4 linked regions of the Danio rerio genome follow. The protein of the gene in region 3 purifies or fractionates together with the protein of the main gene of each other region. This does not show direct contact. Links are inferred from orthologs where the notes say so. Each region holds a gene or a part of one and is shown on either strand. Other genes may lie near its edges. The genes, in order: clspn, topbp1, atr and rpa2.

Region 1 (5,181 bases), on a different chromosome or scaffold from region 3:
ACAGCAAAAATTCATGTTAAAAATAAACGGCTAATCTCAATACCTCTTCATCCTCTGACTCGGTCATCTCTTCTTCCTCCTCTTCCTCACAGTCTTCATTATCGAGGCGATGAAGAGCAGCTCTTCTCTCTCGCTCCTCTTTCCTACGGAAGGCCATGGCTTGCTGCAAACGAGACTTCAACAGCACCAGTTTCTCACCTACAAAAGACACAGAGTAATGAACACACACTAAAACAGCTCACAATAACATCTTTAAAAAGTCCCTTTAACAATTATTATGAGTTTACAATCATCGTAACTTTATTAAATTTAACTTGATAATTTAATTTAATTTGATCCTGCTGATTTAATTGACATTATTATCATCATCATCATCATCATCAAAGTCTTGTAAGCAATTGTAAACAGAGTTTGTTAAACTTGATCTTTAAATGATGAGGGATTTTTTTTCTTTAGCATTTTAATTTCCTATAATTATATAATCTAATATTAATAATTAATTTTTCTTAGTGGGGAAAAAAAATTATTTTAAATTGTAAATACTTTGTGGAAAAAATAAATCAGGGACGCCATATCTATATCACCCGGCTCTAGTATAGTAGCCAATCCTGCTCCATCTAAAAACATGCAGAACGTTTAATACAAATGGCTTTACTGACAAACTGCACATGAAAAACAACATATTAATCTCCTACTATTTATCACCCAGCCCTAGAGGGTATTAATTATTATCTCAGTGCTGCCACCTGCTGACTTCTATTATAAGCATCTCAAAGAACAACAATTTAGGCTAAAAATATAATGCACAAAAAATAAATAAATAAAGTGACCTACACCTTGAATGGCCAGAGGTAATGATAACCTTCAAGAAAATTATTTGACAGTATTGTGATCACTGCTCTAATACAAGTCATTTTCAAATAAAACAAATACCGGAGACCAGTGGACTTTAATGTGGAGCGTGCTTTTCTTTGACAACACATATTTTTTTTAAATTACATATACCACAGAAACAACTAATCTTTTTAAAACAGTTAACATGGTAAACCTTGAAACCGGTTATCGTCCCATGCCTACCTGCGGGTGAGTAAATGCATTGACTGTACCTGGTTTGACATTGGCTGGCTCATCTTCTCCCTCCTTGACAGTGATTGTGATGGATTCAGAGTGCAGCTCCTCCTGTCCTGATGAACTGCTGTCTTTCCTCACCACATTAAGCTGTAATGTGCGCTCGCGTTTAGGACGAGGTGCGGGCTGGAAGTGCTTCATGAAGCGCTCCTGTAGTGCTTTCAGAGCTGAAACAGACACACAATCAACCATCATAAATTGTTGAAAAGTGCAAAAGAAAATTAAAACATTAAAAATTTTCATTTGAAGCCAATTTCCCTGACATTCAATGACAAAAAGCTGAATTTCCATGGCATTTCCATTCAATTTTTTAATGAAAGAAAAGACTAGACACTGATGTGCTTTGCATAAAACTAAAATAGTTTGAATATAAATTTTCATGATTTAATAGCCATTATAAGAGCAATAATGGATAATTTAGCTCAGATTTTAAAGAAATTTAAAAAGTCTAACAGCCAGTCCTAGCTAGGCATGAGCCAGTATGAGATTCTGACGGTATGATAACCTTGGGAAAAATATCACTGTTTTACTGTATTGTGGTTACTGCTCTGATATTGGTTCTTTTTAAATGTTTGGGTTAAAAACTAAAAAAATTTCACTTTTGAACACATTATATTTCATTTTGAGAAACATTTAAATATTTTGGAAGAGTAAACATGTCAGGCTAAATTAATTATTGACTTCTGCTGTTGTAATTTGTTTCAAAAACAGATTTTTTGCAATTTAAAATGGCATCTTTAGATATATTTTCTGCTGGAGATAATGTTGACATTTCACCCACAGTGGCAATTCAAAGTGCTTTACATGGAAAGGAATAAAAGAGACAAGTGTAATAAAAATAAATAATATAAGAACAGATTAAAATGTGTTAAAACAGGTTATAAATCAATGAAAAAGAAAAGAAAGACATATAGTGCGACCTGTCGGTGTTCATTCAGCAAAGGCACAGCTAAACAGACGTGTGTTCAGTCTTGATGTGAATGTGCCTAATGTTGGAGCACATCTGATCATTTCTGGAAGCTGATTCCAGCAGCGGGGGGCGCTATTAGTAGCTGAAGGCTAATTCACCCTGCTGTGACTGAACTCTTGGAAAAAAACATTAGTAATTTAAAAAAAAAAAAAAAAAATTTGTAGCACAGTTAGCGGTGGAGTCAGAGAGGCAATTGCAGATTAGGAAGGAAAGTGGAGACTAAACAGTTGAGTTTTTAGTGGTTTCTTGAAGACAGCGAGTGACTCTGCCGTTCTGATGCAGTTAGGGAGTTCATTCCACCAACTGGGCAGATTGAATGCGAGAGTTCGGGAAAGTGATTTCTTCCCTCTTTGGGATGGAACCACGAGGCGACGTTCATTCACAGAACGCAAGTTTCTAAAGGGCACATAGATTCTAGAGACCAGATAAGAAGGAGCAAAGCCAGAAGTTGCTTTTTAAGCAAACATCAGAGCTTTGAATTTGAAGCAGGCAGCAACTGGCAGCCAGTGCAAACGGATGAGCAGCGGAGTGACATGTGCTCTTTTAGGTTCATTAAAGACCACTCGTGCTGCTGCGTTCTGGAGCAGTTGAAGAGGTTTGATAGAGTTATTTTGGGTTTATTTATTTTTCCAAATCTTTTCCAGGCCTGGAAAATGCCTTGCCAAAATTCCATGACTTTTCCAGGACCGTATGAACCCTGTTATTATCTTATTCTACTTTTTGTGTACGGTCATAAACAGTTGTTTTTAGAGTTCTAAATCAATCACAAAAACGAGCGCTCTTCCATATTGCAGAACAACAGATAATGATATTCCCTATGTAAAATCGTACCTTGGTTTTCCTGAGGCGCCTCCAACTGGACAAAAGCCCCTTCATCTGCAGACAACTTCACCACAGGAGGAGGATCCAGACCAAGCTCCCTCAATCTGGCCAGTTTATCCTTCCGAGGTTTGAGCACCTGAGGTTCAGTCTGGGCTGCATCCACCGAGACCTGCTGCTCTTCTTGCTCTGGATGTCCCTCAGTTGTTTTCTCCTCAATGGGACTGTTCTTCTCTTCATCCTCAGGATTGGGTTTGTCAGTGATTATTTCACCATGTACCTGAGCTTCTCCATCATTAGCAGGACCATCTTGGTGTGTGCTGGAGGCTGGGTCTGGTGTGATGGAGGTCTGGTTCTCCAGAGATGATTCTGGTGGAGGGTTTGTGTCCTGCTGGGGTGCTGTGGTTTGATCTGGAGGAGTAGTGGATTCTAAAATACAAGCCTGGTACTTGGCAGACCTTGAGGACAGGTGAAAAAGTAAACAATACATTTCTTCATATGAATGCATAAGGGGGGGGATTCATTGGTAATAGAGATGATATTTCAATGCCATACTTGAGCAAAGCCATCCCACGACCTTCTGGACGTGGTCTTCTCTTGAAGAACTGATCAATACTTTTGGGTTCAGACATGTGATACGGCAGATTGAGCAAGGACTCTGCAAATGTTTAAGAGAGAGACCATCATGAAGGAGAATCAGAATGAAAGCGCTATATTGCCAAGTGTGTTAGGAACACACAAGTACTTTGTCAGTGATAGGAGCTTCCAGTAGAGGCAGTACAAAAAGTTCAAACACAGTGGAAACTTAAATAAAAGCACATTAAAGGGTCACGAAACACCAAAACACATTTTTTGAGCTGTTGACAGTCGTATGTGTCCCACACTGCTAAAAACACTATTAGGACACCTATATTTCACTAAAAAGTGTAAATTGGTTGTTTTTGCGTTATTTCAAGCAAATTCGTACTTCCTGTTAGAAACGAATTTTTGAAGCTGCGTCACGGTCATGAGATAATAGCGTGTATTCCAGCGTGCAGACTGGACGTCTGTGCCAGAGTGTGTCTTATTACATCTTACAGTGTGATGCATTAATGCATGAGTAAAGCTTGGTTCAAACCAATCAGCGCGCTCTATTGTGCAACTTCATTAATATTCATTACTGTGTTTACACGACATAGACGCCACGTTGTGTTGGCAAAACAAGCGTGAAGTGTTGCTTTTATAGTTTGCTGCTGTTAAGTTTCGTTTTCTTTTTCTCTCTGTGAGAGCGCAGCTGGACTCACGTGTGGATTAACAGTGTACGCGACGCTCGACAACAATAGCTTACGTCTCTAAGGAGGATTATTGTTTACCTGAGAGCTGTTCTCATCTGCAAACGCTGAGATCGGATTCGCTTGTAGTATTCTCTTCATAAAGACGCGGCTCTAGATGCTGTGGATTGTTCTGTCTCTACAGATTTGGTAAGTGAGCGACCAGTGCTCTTTGTTTTTTCAGTTTGTTCGTATCAAACTAAGTTAATTATTGCACCGTAACATGTTAGGACCACAACCAAACTTTAACCTCGTGTAGGGTTTTTAACCGCATTTAGTGACCGGAATAACACACGCGGCTTTCTGACGCTACCTGCCGTGTGCATCTAAGTTTCCGGGAAATGCTGAGGTTTTTTTTTCTCTCATTCGCCGTGCGGTATCAAACATTGCATGAAAAATACACGCTTAGAGCAGATCCTCGAATCAAATATCTCGTTTGTTGTGAGGGACATGAATGAATTCCCTGAATGAAAGAGCCAAACTGCAGTTAAAGTCCACCATTTAATCATTTGGCAAATAATTCGACTACAGATGTCCATGTAGGTTAAACACCATCACTTTCTCCTGTGTGTGAGTATTTTGACTGAAACTCGCGCGTGCCCAAATAGACACTCCCACACCCTCCCACTTTTCTTCCTCCGACACTCCCCCCTAAACAGAGCTGGACACGCCCACTTTTCTGACTTTTTCCAAAGTAGAGGTGTAAAAAATACCCTGCTGAAACGAGGGGGTTTCATGGCCCTTTAATAACAAGCAATACATTTTTTTTTTGCTTTATACAGTTTAAGGTGCATATTAGGAAAATAGAGATGGTTCAGAGGGGAAATAGCATGGGGGAAAATGGTTCTTGTGTCTGGCTGCTCATGTACACAGTGCTCTGACGATCTGTGCTACCTCATCAGAATGTGCTACCGGTAGCTCAATCTGTCATATTTCATCTAAAAAAACAGGGTT
Region 2 (5,181 bases), on a different chromosome or scaffold from region 3:
TGTGTTGTTTAAAGCCTTTATCGATGAGTTATTTTCACAAATTATGATGGCATAGCCGTTAAAATAGGACAAATAAGCTCATGTATGGGACAAATTCTGGACATTTGTCAGTGAGGGGTGGGTCTTCTGAACCACACGAACCCCCCCACTGGCTATGGGCCTGTAATCAAACTGTTTTTCCTATTTTCTTTTAAAATCAGGCCAGATCCTGAAAGACTTCAGTATTCTTGGACCATGCTTCACATTCTGAATTATATATATATTTTTTATTGACAAAACAGAATTCATGTACAATGTAATTGAATAAAATGACTTAAATATTTAATTTGAGCTTGAAATAGGATGATTTCATCTCATACGGCTTTTCTTCAGTGTGGACATGTCCCCAGAGGCTTTCCGTTTGCGTGAAGATGCATCTACAACCTTCTCTGTCTCATCGGCAGCTGCTCCAGGAAGATAGTAAGCGTCCATTGAAGGAGACGGTTCCTGGAAAAAGAAAATATTCAAACGCATTTAATGAACATAGCTAATAATTCTAAAAAAAAAAAAAAAAAAAAAAAACTATTCAGAGCAATGGAACAAGGAATCGCTGTGATGGGATTTCCACATGACTGCCTCTAGTACATTAATATCCGGTGCTGGACTGCACAATTAACCAACATAAAACCAAACTCACTTATTGCTTAGTAATTATGCAATTATAAAAGAACTATAAATACCATCAGGCAGATTACTTTTCCTAAACTTTTTAATAGTATTTTTTTTTTTAATTAGCATTTAAATATTACAATAGAAATGAATAAAGGCTGAATTTAATTAGGCCTGTTGGTTTAACACATTTACTTAAATATTTCACAGTTATTTGGTGACTATCATGATGCAGAAGAGCAACTCAGTGCATGGTGGAGCCTTGATACAGTTATAGGTATTGAAGATGCGAGATATTGCAAATCCACATTTGCACGAATATTGACAAACGATCATAAACTAAAATTAAAATTTTTAGTGACGAGCCAGCACTGGCAATTTGGAAATTATGACAAAAGTGGCTAGTGGGAGTGTCTGTCTAACTCGCCACAGCTGAAATCTACCTGCATTTGGCGGGGGTTAATGCCAAGCCCTGATTATACAGCAGTTTCCTTTTTCTATAAGTCATTCATTAAAATTATTTAAATGAATAAATGATGAAAAATCATTCACAGCCACTTAGTTGCAATTTCTATTTCAGACAAAACAATAAATTTATACATAATGCCTATTCAGGGTTCTTGCACTATTTTAAAAGTAAAATCTAATGCTTTTTAAGACCTCAACAAATATGGTTTGAGACCAAAAAATTTCATAATTTCTTTGGAATAGGCTGCTTAATTTAATGTCCTCATTAGATTTAAATGAATTGTGCCTCGTCACAGTATGGATATAACCCACAGTGCCTGCCTTTTGGATGTCTGGTGGTGAAATAAAACTGTTATAGCTGTCTGTGAGGTGGCGTCTAAACTAAAGCTGTAATCGGGCCATTAAAGTTAGACCCGATAGGGCCCAAATCCCGACAAGTACATATTGACTGACAGCTTTTAAAAAGCCCAAACACGTTTAGAGCCAACATTATTCAAATGTGCACATGCACACAGCTCTTTTGCCTTTTTTCATAAGTGAGTCCTTTATATGTGTTAGCATTACTTATTTATAACATAGGCTATAGGCCACTTGGAAGTTGGAACAAAAAAAAAAAAAAAAATAAGCCCTCTGTAACATCGTAACATCTTAGCACTCTAATAAGCCTGGGTACATACACTAAGCCTTTTAATTGGCCAACACACCAATAAAAATTAGTCTTTCTTAACAAATTAAATTAAATGATAAATGATAATTGAGAATCATGAAATTAAGATGAAGGCTCTGTGTGAATTGTTTTGTCACTTCTCTTCACAATCTGCAATAAGGCGACAGTGAAGCTGAATAATAAAAGATTAAGGCCAACATTAGCCAATATACTCTGTCTACATTATGATTTTATGATTTAATTTAAATATTTGGTTATAATTTGAAAATCCTTTACTCATCAAGATTAGGCGATGTGTTTTTTGGCGGAACATTGTTGAATTCACTGTACATGGCTTTAGCGCAGTCCTGCACTCACTGAGCAGCACTAAACACCCTTTCACTGCTGCTGCTACTGGCCGGGATGCACTACTGATCTGGCTAATTTAGCATGTTTTGGGTAGGTATGTTTGTTCATCTTCCACCAGTCAAGAACATTCATTTAATTTTCATGACAGCGGTTTCAGTGTAGCAAGTGACCCCGTCATTTTTCCTTTCAGCTCGCTGTACATTGCTGTTTAGTGCTCTACCCTAATACGCAGTGTATGAGCGACTGCCGAAATACCTTAGTGGCTAGAATGACTGCTCTTATTAAACTAGCAGCAGTCAAAATTCACTCTTTTTGACTTTTCCTTTTTTTTCCCATCATTTGTTTCACCTTTGTAGGGATGTAAACAACAATTTGATTACTTTCTTGCGCAAATCGAAATCCATCACATGACCGTTTATTTACTGCTCAGGCCCAAGCCCAGCCCGACCCCGTCTAAAATGATAGAAATTAAGTACGAACCCATCGGGTTCGACACCCGCGTTATGACAGCATGCAGATGTAGACCGACGTAAGCATCTGTAGCCGACCTACCGTAACAAGCTAATAAATCACGGAGACGGTCATTTCTCTCCTGTTTCACACATATTAATCAACTATTAGATGTTTCACGGTGGACCACTGTGCTTCCCTATCGTCACTGAGCACACCAGCTGGAAATGTAATACTTACAGCCACTTTACGGTAAATCTAAGACAATTTAATAACTTAATTTCCCGTATTTTAATTTAAGACATTTTAAGACTTTTTAAGGATCCTTGGGAAACCTGCTATTGAAAATTAATAAAAGAGACATTAAAATAAATTTTATTCGATGCAATTCATTTGTGATTAACAAATTGCGTTTTTTTTTTCTTGATTGCATAGAAATATGAATTTATTTTTGTGCAGCCTTAAAAACAAGCACAAAATCATTATTGATAATAACACTTTTTTTTATCAAAGTGAAAGAACAAGTAAAAATGTTGTGTTTGTCTGGTTTGAATCACAAATAGCACCTCTTACCTGCATGAGATAATCAGCAATGTACTCTGGTTTAAGACATTTGACCCCGTGAGCTGAAGCCTCACTGATGTCCACTCTAACATCACCTGGTTTTAACCGACTGAAATCCACAAACAGGTGAGTGGTCTCTTTAAACAGTGAGGGAGAAGGATCTGGCAGCACCTGTGTAGCAGGAAAGGGTGAAATACAAGAAAAATAAACAACAAAGTAAGGAATGAGCAACAACAGCCTGCAAAGTCACATTGTTTACTTGTCCTTCAAACTTGATGAGTTTTGAAAAATACAATATAACCATTCACATCCATTAACAAATGCTATGAATGTATTTGAAATATCTTCTTTTGTATTTAACAGAAAAGGGAAACTAAAAATAGCATGGAATGACTTGAGGAGGTAAATGGTGAATAAATTTAGATTTTTGAGTGAACTGTGGTTTTAAGTTAAGAAATCCCTGAGTAATAAGGTTAAGGGTAATCTCAGGAAAACTTGAATGGCAAGAAAGAAGACATAAGGGTCAACAAAACCAGTGTTTCTCAACCATGTTCATGAAGGATCACCAGCACTGCATGTTTTGGATGTCTTCTTTGTCTGTCACACACATTTCTGGTCTTTCAGTCTCTGCTAATGAGCTGATCTGAATCAGGTGTCTTTGGTTAAGGAGACATGAAATATGTGCAGAGCTGATGCTCGTCCAGGAACATGGTTCAGAAACACTGAACTAAATGAATGTATGGGTGCCGTTAGTTATTCTACCTTAATTATCTAAGTTGTCCCTTAAGCAACCATTTCTTAATAAATGTAAAGACCAGGACACAGCAAGCCTATGCCAAAGAACTAGCATTGATGAAAATCAAATATGTTGTGGTTTCGTGTCGACCACGGCTGGTCCCATCTGGACTAAAATGCTGTGTGTGAACACAACAAAGGGATGGCTGCAGGCTGAAACCAGAGCACATCTTGTATCTTTCTGTTAACGCAGATTGCAGTAATATTCTTTCTCAATCCAAAAAAGTAAAACCAGAACATGAGATGCACAAAGCGTGAACAAAGCAGCATTTATTGCCATTATCACAGTAATCCTCACTCACCACAGAGGGATTTGCTTGTGCCAATATGTCTGATAATCTAATAATCCATAAATGTAGTATTATTTGAGTAATATTATTGACTAAAGTGAAAACGTTCAGATGATTTATGTACAAAAAAAAATCCAAGTAATATTGTTTGTATTTTAGCGGATGTTACATGAGAGAGTTTACCAAACAAGTAAAATTTGAGAATTCATTTTATTTTTTATGTATGTTATGCTTTTAGTTCCTGGACTTGTACACAAAATCTGCATAAATCCACAGATTTTATTTCTTGTTTCTATGCATAACTAGTGAATAAATTCAGATTGTGTTTGGCCCTTAGGTTATGCCCCCCCTCAAGTCAAACTACTTAAAGACTTATACAAAACTAGAGCCTGGTCTTGTATTCACAAAACATTTTCTCTTAGCACATGCCTATTATCTTTACAAATTTCACCTAAATCCACAAGTTAGTATCTACATATGAAGAGTTCAGATGTAAAAAAAAAAAAAAAAAAAAAAAACTCTAAATGACATCTTATGTTCTCTTTAAATAAGCATTTTTCTCAGCATCATATGTTTATATTCAGTTATTTCACTTTAATGGCAATAAAAATAACTTATTCGTCACTATAAAAGTAAAATTACTAAGCCTACACACACAGGAGTCTTTAGAAGAAAATATTAAATGACATTGAGGTTTTTGGATCTCATCACTTCATTTGGGATGCCTTGGGAAGTTTTGTAAATAGGGCACCAGATGACAAAAGACAACAGACCTTGGCTCCTCCAGACTGCAGCAGTCTTCTGAATCCAGCCTCTCTGGCCTGGTCAATATTCAGCATCACAATCCAGCCGCCAAACGCTCCCTGCACAACAATAACATTAGGCTCTGAACCATGAACATAAATCCTAGGAATCTAGAATCTAAGCCAAGTATGTGCATGCGTACCTCCT
Region 3 (5,181 bases):
TCTTGGCGCGACGCAGCTGGGTCTTAAAGGGAATGGGAGATGAGACTCTAATTGGTTTATTCTCAAAACACACCTATAACTCATTAAGAAAATAAACTGAACCCTTTTAGACCATGCGCCTTGGCGCAAGGCAGATTTCCCGTCCTTAAATTAGCAAAAACGCGTCCTGACACGCCCTGAAAGAGTTTGCGCTCTACGCATGGACCGTTAAAATAGAGCCCACACACACACACGCACGCACGCACGCACGCACGCACGCACGCACGCACGCACGCACGCACACACACACACACACACAGTGCTGAGTCTTGTTATAGTGAATTGTGAACTTGTTAACGCGTTTTCCTTGCCTTGCCATATTTTTGACCATCGTCTTTTTTATTTGTTTATGCTGCCTGCTACCTGCCTATACTGACCATTCCCCTAATATTTGACTACGACTCTGGATTGCCCGAATACATCTGTTTGTTCCTGTAATGACCATTGCTTGCCTGACCATTCTGTTTAATAAACCTGTGTTTGGATTCACACCTCCCTTGTCAGCAGCCTCTTCACATTACATATATGGTTGTGTGTATTGTTTTATAATGAAAATCAATAAAAAGTATTTGAATAAATGTCTTTATGATCTTGCCTGTTTAATGTTTATTTTTAATAAAAAAAAAGTCATATGTAACCTATTCAAACGTTTATCTAATCTGTGTTTTAGTTCAGACGTGGTGTGAGATGCTTTCCAGAAAATACAGTGCATATTCAAAGCTAATTTTAGAGCTAATTAATTTTGTAATGAATGCCTGAGGGGGAAGCTGAATATAAAAGATTAATAAATCCACAAAAGCTGTTTCTTTCGAAATCACTTTCTCTCTAGTGGTAAAGTCTGTCTTACTGGTTTATTTCCGAGCTCCAACAGCTTGTCAGTCAGTCTGTTGGCATCTCCGATAAACTTCATAAATGAGTCATTCAGACTGATGGCCTTCTTCAGGATCTCCTTACATCTGTTCATTCGAGTCGGATAGGAGGACTAAAAAAGAAGCATAAACGAAACATTATTTATACCTGTATGCATTAGATATTGTAATAAATGAAGATTTCTGACCTTTGACACAGCAGTCATCATCCACATGGCCTGTTGCGGGTAAGCTAAGAATACTTTGGCCACAATCTCCATGAGAACAGCAAAGACCTCGTTGCTGGAGTGGCAGATTCTGGAGATGAGCTGGGAAAAGGCTGTGAGGAACTGGTAGGGCGAGAGGTTGCTAGTGTGGTCGCTGATCACGGAATTGATCTTCGTAAGCTCAGTACGCATCTGGACTCGGTCAGAGCGGCCAGCTTAAAGACAAAAAGTGGGAAGAAACTGCTGTATCGAAGATTACTAGAGCAGTGAGTCTTAAGACTGACAAAAAAATCCTTTTAAATCACTAGAATTTATTTTTAAAAATCATTGCACATTTGGAAAGATTCCGTATGAATTGATATTCAAGATTACATTCTGTGCGACTCCTGCGAAAATCATGTTTGTGGATGTGCTAAAGGCTGAAAGCTGTCAAAGCGAAACAAGCTCGCTGAAGCAATGTGATATATATGCACAGCTAGTGTTTTTCAGGCCAGTGCAGAAAATCCATTCAAAATATTAGGGTAAAATTAATTTCTATATTTTAAAGACATGGCATGGAAAAATCTAATTTAATGCAGTGCTTCTTTTTTTACTCTGGGTTTACTCTGATACCCACTTTATATCGTATATGTCAGCCAGGCAGTGAAGATCACTGTTTTTTTAAGAAATCAGATCCCAGCAATTTTGCATGGGATGAGAATTAACCGAAAGCCCTGGGGCTGACTGACTGAAATTAAAAGTCTGTGTCCATATACCCCATTGCTGATGAGAGACGAATGCAATCCACTTTTATTATGCCACGGTTGAGCACTTTGGTTTTTTTGGTCATGATCACATAGAAAAGAAGAAGAGATGTTTTATCATATTAAATACATTTTAGGTTGTGTTATAAGGCAGCTCAGTGCAGTCTAATGAAACACAATATATTAAAGTCTTTGGAGTTTCTATTTCCAATAAAACAAAAAAAGAAAAATATATAATTTGAAGACAAAACAAAATATACTGAAGAGTTTTTCAACATTCTTCAGAATATGTTGTGCTCAAAAGGGGGAAAAAAAGAAACTTAAATGAGTTTGTAGTAAGGATGAGTAAATTCATTCATTCATTTTCTTTTTGGCTTAGTCCCATTATAATTCTGGGGTCGCCACAGCGGAATGAACCACCAACTTATCCAGCACGTTTTTACACAGCGGATGCCATTTCAGCCACAACCCATCTCTGGAAAAGGATAAGTAAATTAAGAGAAATTTTTCATCTCTTTAAGTGTATTTTCCACACACTGCTAGTTTCAGTAACATTGTTTCTAGTAGCTTTGGAAAGAATAAATTCTGTTAGGCTTGCCTATAGTTAATAGATATAATGTTGGTTACAGTGAATGCCACAATAATATTGTGTATATATTGTTCTATAATTGTTGTTTTATTTATCATTCCGTAATGAACATTTAATTTTAAAGGACTTGCTTTAGCGTTTTAATGATCGTAAAGGCTTCATTTACTAATGGAAATCCAGTATTGCTGTGTGCAGTTTTCCTCTCAACAATAAAATTTGGACATTACAAATTGCATAAAATTTGATACCTTTGCAGGTGTATTTTTAAAACCAATTAATTGTTTTATAATGAATGTCTAAGAAAAAACCTTAACAGATTTATAAATAAATAAAAATGCATTTATAATGGATTAATAAGTAACATGGGTATTGCTTATATTGCTTGCCTAATATAATTGCCCAAGTAAAAATTAAAAACCTTTCTTGAAAACATTTGGGCTAATATAAATACGTCAGAAAAATATATAACAGTGTTCTACTGTTTTTGAATATTTTAATGAAACTATATCTATTTTTTATAATACATATTGTCCATTTAATATAATGAGTATACTATTTTGACAAATTGCAATTTTACACTCTCTACAATGTTTATCATTTCAAATTGACTGTTCAACACAAACCACTGATGGAGGTATGCAAATAAATATTTTAATTGTTTAATTTTTCCATACACTACATCAACCATTTTTGTGCCTTACCTTTTTCAAATTCATAAACCTTGGCACCAAAGTCCAGCCATAACGTAAGCATTCTCGGCATGGCTTGATAGATGTACTGATTGCCAAACTGCAAAGCTCTGTGAAACAAGCAAAACAAGCATCTCTAAATCTAACTTTCACACAATTCATTCAAATAGACTAAAACTAAAACCATAAAACTTAATCCTCCTGTTGTATGAAATGATGTATACACTGTTCAACCTTCCTTCTGTTGACTCATCTTTATGAAACCTCTAAAATAAAGAATCAAAATTTAATTTTATTCCTCAAATCTATTTCGCATGATGAAACGAACTCTGTGCATGAGTTTTTCATGAATGTTTAATTAGAGGTCACCACGTGTTTTTGACTTATGTGAAGTGGCATGTTTATCAATTGCTAAAAGTACATGCATGAATGTTAAACATTAAAGCAAGAGAATATTAATAAAGGTTAAAGCAGTAGATTCTTATTGTTTGTGTTTGGGGGTGTGTGTGCCCGTGTGAGCTAGTGGTTTTCATGGTAAAAAAAATAGTTTTATACTGTAGCTGGCGGGTAAAAAATGGACTAAATGACACCCATTATACCCTAAATGTGTACAGAAATCATTAAAAAACAAAAATAAAGATTTAGGTCAAAAGGAGGGTTAAATAATTTTTTTTTACTTTAAAAAAAGTTACTCAGTTACTTGCCATAGAAATATTTCACATGTACACAACTTTATTAAATTAATAAAACTAAAATAAAAGCACACACAAAATTTGATTTGTTTTGTAAACTTTTGCAGAATTGCTAAATAAAAATCACAATATAAACATTATCAAAAGAAAACATCTTACTTTCCAAAATAAGTGACAATATAACGGATGAGGTTGCCTTGTCTTTCCAGTTTGTTGTCAGTGACCATGGGCATCACCTTGTCATAGTATTTGGCCAGGTAGAAGTTTCCATCCTCCCATTCTGGCAACAGAGTCGTAACATCCTGCATTAAAAAGAACAGAAGTCACTTTCTGATGAATCTGACTCCAGTACTGACATTTGACTTCATTTGTGACTAACTGAAATACCTTATAGGTTTTCATAATCGCATTGCTCTCGAAGTTGGCTGTCTCCTCCATATATCTGCCCACCAGCAGCATGGCGTTTCCCTTGACCTGGATTCTCTTGGGGTCTGTGAGCGTCTGGTCATCAGGAAAACACTGCTGCACTCCTTTCTGCAGGACTATCAGAGCTTGATGCACATCACCCTATAAAATAATAGCATCTTTCCTTATACAAGGTACCCAATTATTCATGAACAGCAGATTCAAAGATTTTCAAAGACTTCTTACATTTTAAATCAAGCACTATTTACATCCCCAGCATGTATATCACCATATAAGTCCTTATTGTACGTAACATTTCACCCACACTTAACATTTACAGTAAAAATGAGAGTAATGATAATTTTAAACAGTCATGTTCAAAGAACTTATTAAAAATGTGTTGAATTCCACTCTAGTATTTTAAATTAAATTTAAATGCGGTTTCTGAAATGAAATTAGCATTATTTGTCATTGTTCTTGTACAGGATTGAAATGTAAGATTTGTAAATTGCATGGTTTCAGCAAGTTTCACCAAGTCAAATTAAAGACTTTTTAAGGTCTTTTTAAGACCCCAACGAAAAACATTTCAGACTTAAATAAAGCTAGACACTAAAGATTTTTTTTAAATGGCCCAGCAGAAAAAAAAAATCTAAGTAGTCATTTCTTAGCCACATATTTTAAATAATGAGTCAAAACAAGCAGACCTTAGTTGTACACATATATTTTTGTTCAACATAACTTAAAAAAAAAAATCTAAAAACTAAGGGTCCTATCATACACCCGGCACAATGCAGCGCAAGGCGCTACGCAACTGTTGTATGCTGGTTTCAGCTATAGGCGCAAGAGTCATTTTGACGTTAAAGACCCGGCTGTTTATACAGCAAATGCATTTGCGCTCATATGTGCGCCCCTAGGCGGTCTAGTCTAAAAACGGGGGTGTGTTAAGGAG
Region 4 (5,181 bases), on a different chromosome or scaffold from region 3:
CACCATCAGCTGTTAAAAACTAGCCTAGAGCGCCATCTGCTGTTAAACACTAGCCTAGAGCGCCATCTGCTGTTAAACACTAGCCTAGAGCGCCATCTGCTGTTAAACACTAGCCTAGAGTGACCTCTGCGGTTCAAAACTTGCCTACAGCGCCATCTGCTGTTAAACACTAGCCTAGAGCACCATAAGCTGTTGAACACTAGCCTAGCGCCATCTGCTGTTAAACACTAGCCTAGAGCGGCATCTGCTGTTAAACACTAGCCTAGAGCGCCATCTGCTGTTAAACACTAGCCTAGAGCGCCATCTGCTGTTAAACACTAGCCTAGAGTGACCTCTGCGGTTCAAAACTTGCCTACAGCGCCATCTGCTGTTAAACACTAGCCTAGAGCACCATAAGCTGTTGAACACTAGCCTAGCGCCATCTGCTGTTAAACACTAGCCTAGAGCGGCATCTGCTGTTAAACACTAGCCTAGAGCACCATCAGCTGTTGAACACTAGCCTAGAGCGGCATCTGCTATTAAACACTAGCCTAGAGCACCATTAGCTGTTGAACACTAGCCTAGAGCGGCATCTGCTGTTAAACACTAGCCTAGAGCGGCATCTGCTGTTAAACACTAGCCTAGAGCACCATCAGCTGTTGAACACTAGTCTAGAGCGGCATCTGCTATTAAACACTAGCCTAGAGCACCATTAGCTGTTGAAGACTAGCCTAGAGCGGCATCTGCTGTTAAACACTAGCTCAGACTACCATCAGCTGTTAAACACTAGCCTAGAGCACTATAAGCTGTTAAACACTAGCCTAGACTACCATCAGCTGTTAAACACTAGCCTAGAGCACTATAAGCTGTTAAACACTAGCCTAGACTACCATCAGCTGTTAAACACTAGCCTAGAGCACTATAAGCTGTTAAACACTAGCCTAGAGCAGGGCCGGAGTGGGACTCCTTTTCAGACCTGGAGTTTCAAGCCCAAGACCTGCCCACCTCAGTTCACGACTGACTACAGTATATTAAAATAACGTCATTTCCAATTCAGTTTCTAATGACACTATCATGTCTTTTTAAAGAAAACAGCTGCTTTAAAACTTCAAATGTTTATCAACCCTAACAATATAATATGTCTTAACAATAAAAATGACAGAAAAAAAAAAAAAATATATATATATATATATATATATATATATATATATATATATATTCAAGACCTGCAAGACTCTTAACCACAGTATTGCTTTCTATTGATGGTTTAATCTTTTTCTCCCCATTTTAGATTTCTGATCAAGTTATGTTGGATATATTAATGTAGTGAATCATCTGATTTTCATTGAGCAGGTGTAATATTCATTAATATTAATTATTCAAATTCTTATTTTCACTATAAGTGCCGCTGTTTGGGGTTGAATGATAGTTACATCATCATTACCCTGCAGGCTGCATTCTGCTCACGGTGCTGCGAGAAAATAAATAAGAAGAGCGGAGCTGCAGCAAAATAATGAATCAAAAGAATGAGGCTATGGTCAAATAAATAAATAAATGAAAAAAGTGCGACTGCTGAGAGTGCAAGCAGCTAGGGACAACGGCCCTCATGGTCAAAAAACGTCTCCTGGTCCTCCCAATTAGCCAATCCGGGCCAGGCCTAGAGTGCCCTCTGCTGTTCAAAACTAGCTTAGAGCACCTTTGGTTAAACAGAAAGTGCAACCCATAACTGCAAATATAATATATAAAGGTGGAAGATGTGAATACAAATATGTTTGTAATGTTTACTCACTTGGTTCTGGTTGGCACTCAAGCCATTGACTAGCATCATGTTAGCACCAGAATAGCCTCCTGTGGTGCCCATACTATTCATGCTGGTATGAGACACTGGCATCATCCCTCCACCACCTCCCTATAAAGACACAACACATTATATTACATTATAAGAACAGTTATTGTGACCCCTGTCATGTTTCCATTATATTAACCACACAGAAATAGTGTCAGATTGATTTTACAGTACCATAGCAAACTTTGCCACCTTTATGAACTGCTATACATTAAAATAAAATGTTTTTTATTTTAATTTTAAATATCTATCTTTTTAAATCATATACAACTGAACATTGATGATGATCTCCAAGTCTCCAAAGTTAAACCAATAATAGACTTGTGCAGTAAACATTGCACCCACCAGCCATATTAGATGAGGTTGATATTAAAGACTAATTAATAAATGACAAATAATAAATATTAAATGGTTGTTAGACTGTTTATGTTGTCAATGTGCTTGTGTTTATTTAGGCCTATTGGTGTATGTGCACTGTTTGTATGTTTAGAACCACTTTCGGAGATGGCGGGGGTCGTGAGTCACTGAAATTGTTATTTTGGGGGGTCAGGCTGAAAAATTTGGGAACTGTACTTTTGTTAAAAAAAAAAAAAAAAAAAAAAAATATATATATATATATATATATATATATATATATATATATATATATATATATATATAAAAATAAATATATATATATTTTTTTTTTATCATAGTGTTCCCTTTCAAGCTAAAGAGAATTGGGATACCCCTTAAATTATGCATTTAATAAACGGATTCTTTATAAGGACTCAGAGCGGAAAAGGCTTGGGTGGTTTGTTATTTAAATATAGCAAATCATTCAAAAAAAAAAAACAATCAATTGTATTTAGCATGGCTGCACGGTGGCTCAGTGGTCAGCGCTGTCGCCTCACAATGTTGGCATTACTGTATGGAGTTTGCATGTTCTCCCTGTGTTAGCGTGGGTTTATTCCGTGTGCTCCGGTTTCCCCTACAGTCCAAAAACCTGCGCCATTAGTGAATTGAATAAACTAAATTGGCTGTAGTGTGTAAATGGGTATGTATGGGTGTTTCCCAGTACAGGGTTGCAGCTGGAAAGGAATCCCCTGCATAAAACATTGGTTATTAAAACTATTATGTTGAAAATGTAAATCATCTCCTTAATCACTTTGTCTTTAACTGTATATACAGATGCTGCATATTGTCTCATGACCCAAATATAACCAGTTGATAATTAATGCTTTGAAATTGAATCTACGATACACAAGGTTTGAACATGCTTGAATTCTGTGTTGAGTTTGTAACCATCAACCACTTTCTTTGCATTTTGTGCGAAAGAAAAGCAGAAGTGTAGCATGAGAAGGAGGTGCTGGAGTCTCACCATGTTCTGTGGTTTGCTCTGCTGGAGATGAGCGTTCACAACCTCCAGCATGTGCGATGTCACTTCATTCATGTCCTCCAGCACTCGAACGCTGAACGCCACCAAAGACCTGTTATTCTGCAAGGAGAATCAGAACTATTCGTGAAGGACAATCAGATTAAACCAGAACTAATACAGTTAAAGTGAATTGTGAATTTTGTTTTCTTTTTCAAGTGTTTCCCGAATGATGTGTAGCAGAGCAAGGGATTTATCACAGTATTTCCTGTAATATTTTATTGAGTCTTTTATAGATGTGTGTTAAAGAAAGGTTTAAATGTGTGCATGATTATTCCATAAATGCAATGTGTGTGTGCGTCATTTAAAACGTTAGCACCCATCAGCTTTAATCATGAATAAAACTGGATCATTTTGAGCGTTTGTCAGCTAATTTCAGCTTAAAATCATTATTGGGGCGGGATCAGAAATCGGTGACGTAGCACCAATCTGCCTGTCCAGTGATGATGCGTGAGTTTCTCATTATTATTTGTAGTGGAGTTTTCTTATCCTATGAGAAGACCCTGCTTCTTAATTATTAATACTGCATGTGCTTTCCGATGACAGACTAATACGGTCAGACCTGCCAAGCTGTGAGACGGCACACGGCAGTATTTAGGTGCTTATGAAGAGTGGCATGTGTTTGTTTCCATGATCCACACGGTTTGTTGCATGGTTTTCCTCTTATTCTGTCAAGGGCTGATACAGGCAACCTGTTTGTGTGCAGCAAGCATTTTTGTCAGAAGAGCTGTAGGAGAATTGGAGAATGACGGACTTTGTCTTTTATCAGTTGAGTTTGTTACCATTCAGACACATCGCCTATATCTGTGCTGCTGTGTTCGCACACATTTTAAATTCTCCAAATCACCTGCAGGACTAATGGTTGGAATAGACGGGGGAAAAGACCTGCTGTACTTGAACTGGAAGAGGTGTTTCATTGCTCTTTAAGTTCAATTATACTTAATAAATGCAAGTAAAAAGGTTGCATGCATGACTGTTTTAAAGACATGTGCAATTTAAAGGTTTGTATGTACATGCTAAGTAACAATAGATATCAGTCTGCATTTCACATTAATGCATGTAAACATTATAGACTTTTTCATAAGCATTTGAGCATTCAGAAGCATTCACATGTGCATATACAAGTGTTTAGTTCATGTGTGAAGTTTGATTTTAGTGCTACATGGCGCCTTGTGTTTTTTGTGTGAATTCTCTTAATATAAACAACAGCTTCAGTGATTATGACAAGATAATTTGTAAAAGTTACACAAGTAAATGCTTTGCCTCGACGTTGACAACACCAATCAGCTCCAGTGTTTGAGGATCAGAATAGGTGATTTTTTTTTCACAGGCGACACCGTAAATAAGTTATAAATAAATAAATGTGGTTCCATCAAATCATCTTGACCGTCAGTGAATAAATTCACATCTGTATTTATATGCTTATGCCACACTGCTGTTTTTGACTCTTTGGCACCACCTTGTGACTAAATATATTATGTGGGGTTAGTGTATGCTCCATTCAGCTGTTTTCGTCAGCTTTGCTTTTAATTAAAGAATGAAGTTCATATGTATCTGCTTGTGTGTCAGGTTGTGGTTTTTGACTGTTTGGTCGTGTCTTCGAAATGAATAATACATAGGTTAGTATATTCTCCATTTAACCAGTTTCGCTTCTGTCTGCTTAGCATTTAATTAAATAATGAATAAACTATTATGGCTCAAAACAATGTCTTCTATCTAATTTGTATGTTTTGTGGCGAGTAGCCATGGAATAATTGAGATCAATCACATCCAGGATGGTTGTTTTAGCAGAATAAAGCCCTTCAGTCTTATACAACAGTGCTTTACTTCAATTCGGTCTGATGATAAATAAACCTGTCAGGTTTTATTCCATGAGAACAACCCCCTGGATGTACTTTATGTCTAACATAGCATGCCACACATGCAGATGGGATGATGTGGA

What was found.
Region 1: the proteins of atr (region 3) and clspn purify together in Homo sapiens (affinity purification with western blotting; 3 studies listed by BioGRID). This does not show direct contact. The link is inferred for Danio rerio from reciprocal best matches to the Homo sapiens genes ATR and CLSPN.
Region 2: the proteins of atr (region 3) and topbp1 purify together in Homo sapiens (affinity purification with western blotting; 8 studies listed by BioGRID). This does not show direct contact. The link is inferred for Danio rerio from reciprocal best matches to the Homo sapiens genes ATR and TOPBP1.
Region 4: the proteins of atr (region 3) and rpa2 purify together in Homo sapiens (affinity purification with western blotting; 3 studies listed by BioGRID, with this or other methods). This does not show direct contact. The link is inferred for Danio rerio from reciprocal best matches to the Homo sapiens genes ATR and RPA2.

What each region holds. Positions count from the first base shown.
Region 1 is NC_133194.1:50,559,686-50,564,866, forward strand, and holds part of clspn (claspin), read right to left. Parts: intron 3,576-5,181; coding exon 3,473-3,575; intron 3,376-3,472; coding exon 2,930-3,375; intron 1,296-2,929; coding exon 1,107-1,295; intron 199-1,106; coding exon 44-198; intron 1-43.
Region 2 is NC_133199.1:10,084,237-10,089,417, reverse strand, and holds the end of topbp1 (DNA topoisomerase 2-binding protein 1), read right to left. Parts: coding exon 5,177-5,181; intron 5,115-5,176; coding exon 5,004-5,114; intron 3,317-5,003; coding exon 3,155-3,316; intron 487-3,154; coding exon 349-486; 3' UTR 239-348; downstream 1-238. UniProt on the Homo sapiens protein: Scaffold protein that acts as a key protein-protein adapter in DNA replication and DNA repair. Composed of multiple BRCT domains, which specifically recognize and bind phosphorylated proteins, bringing proteins together into functional combinations.
Region 3 is NC_133177.1:18,764,933-18,770,113, forward strand, and holds part of atr (serine/threonine-protein kinase ATR), read right to left. Parts: intron 4,395-5,181; coding exon 4,215-4,394; intron 4,130-4,214; coding exon 3,987-4,129; intron 3,402-3,986; exon of another isoform or gene 3,246-3,401; coding exon 3,148-3,245; intron 1,330-3,147; coding exon 1,097-1,329; intron 1,022-1,096; coding exon 887-1,021; intron 1-886. UniProt on the Homo sapiens protein: Serine/threonine protein kinase which activates checkpoint signaling upon genotoxic stresses such as ionizing radiation (IR), ultraviolet light (UV), or DNA replication stalling, thereby acting as a DNA damage sensor.
Region 4 is NC_133191.1:4,960,086-4,965,266, forward strand, and holds part of rpa2 (replication protein A 32 kDa subunit), read right to left. Parts: intron 3,303-5,181; coding exon 3,186-3,302; intron 1,889-3,185; coding exon 1,769-1,888; intron 1-1,768. UniProt on the Homo sapiens protein: As part of the heterotrimeric replication protein A complex (RPA/RP-A), binds and stabilizes single-stranded DNA intermediates that form during DNA replication or upon DNA stress.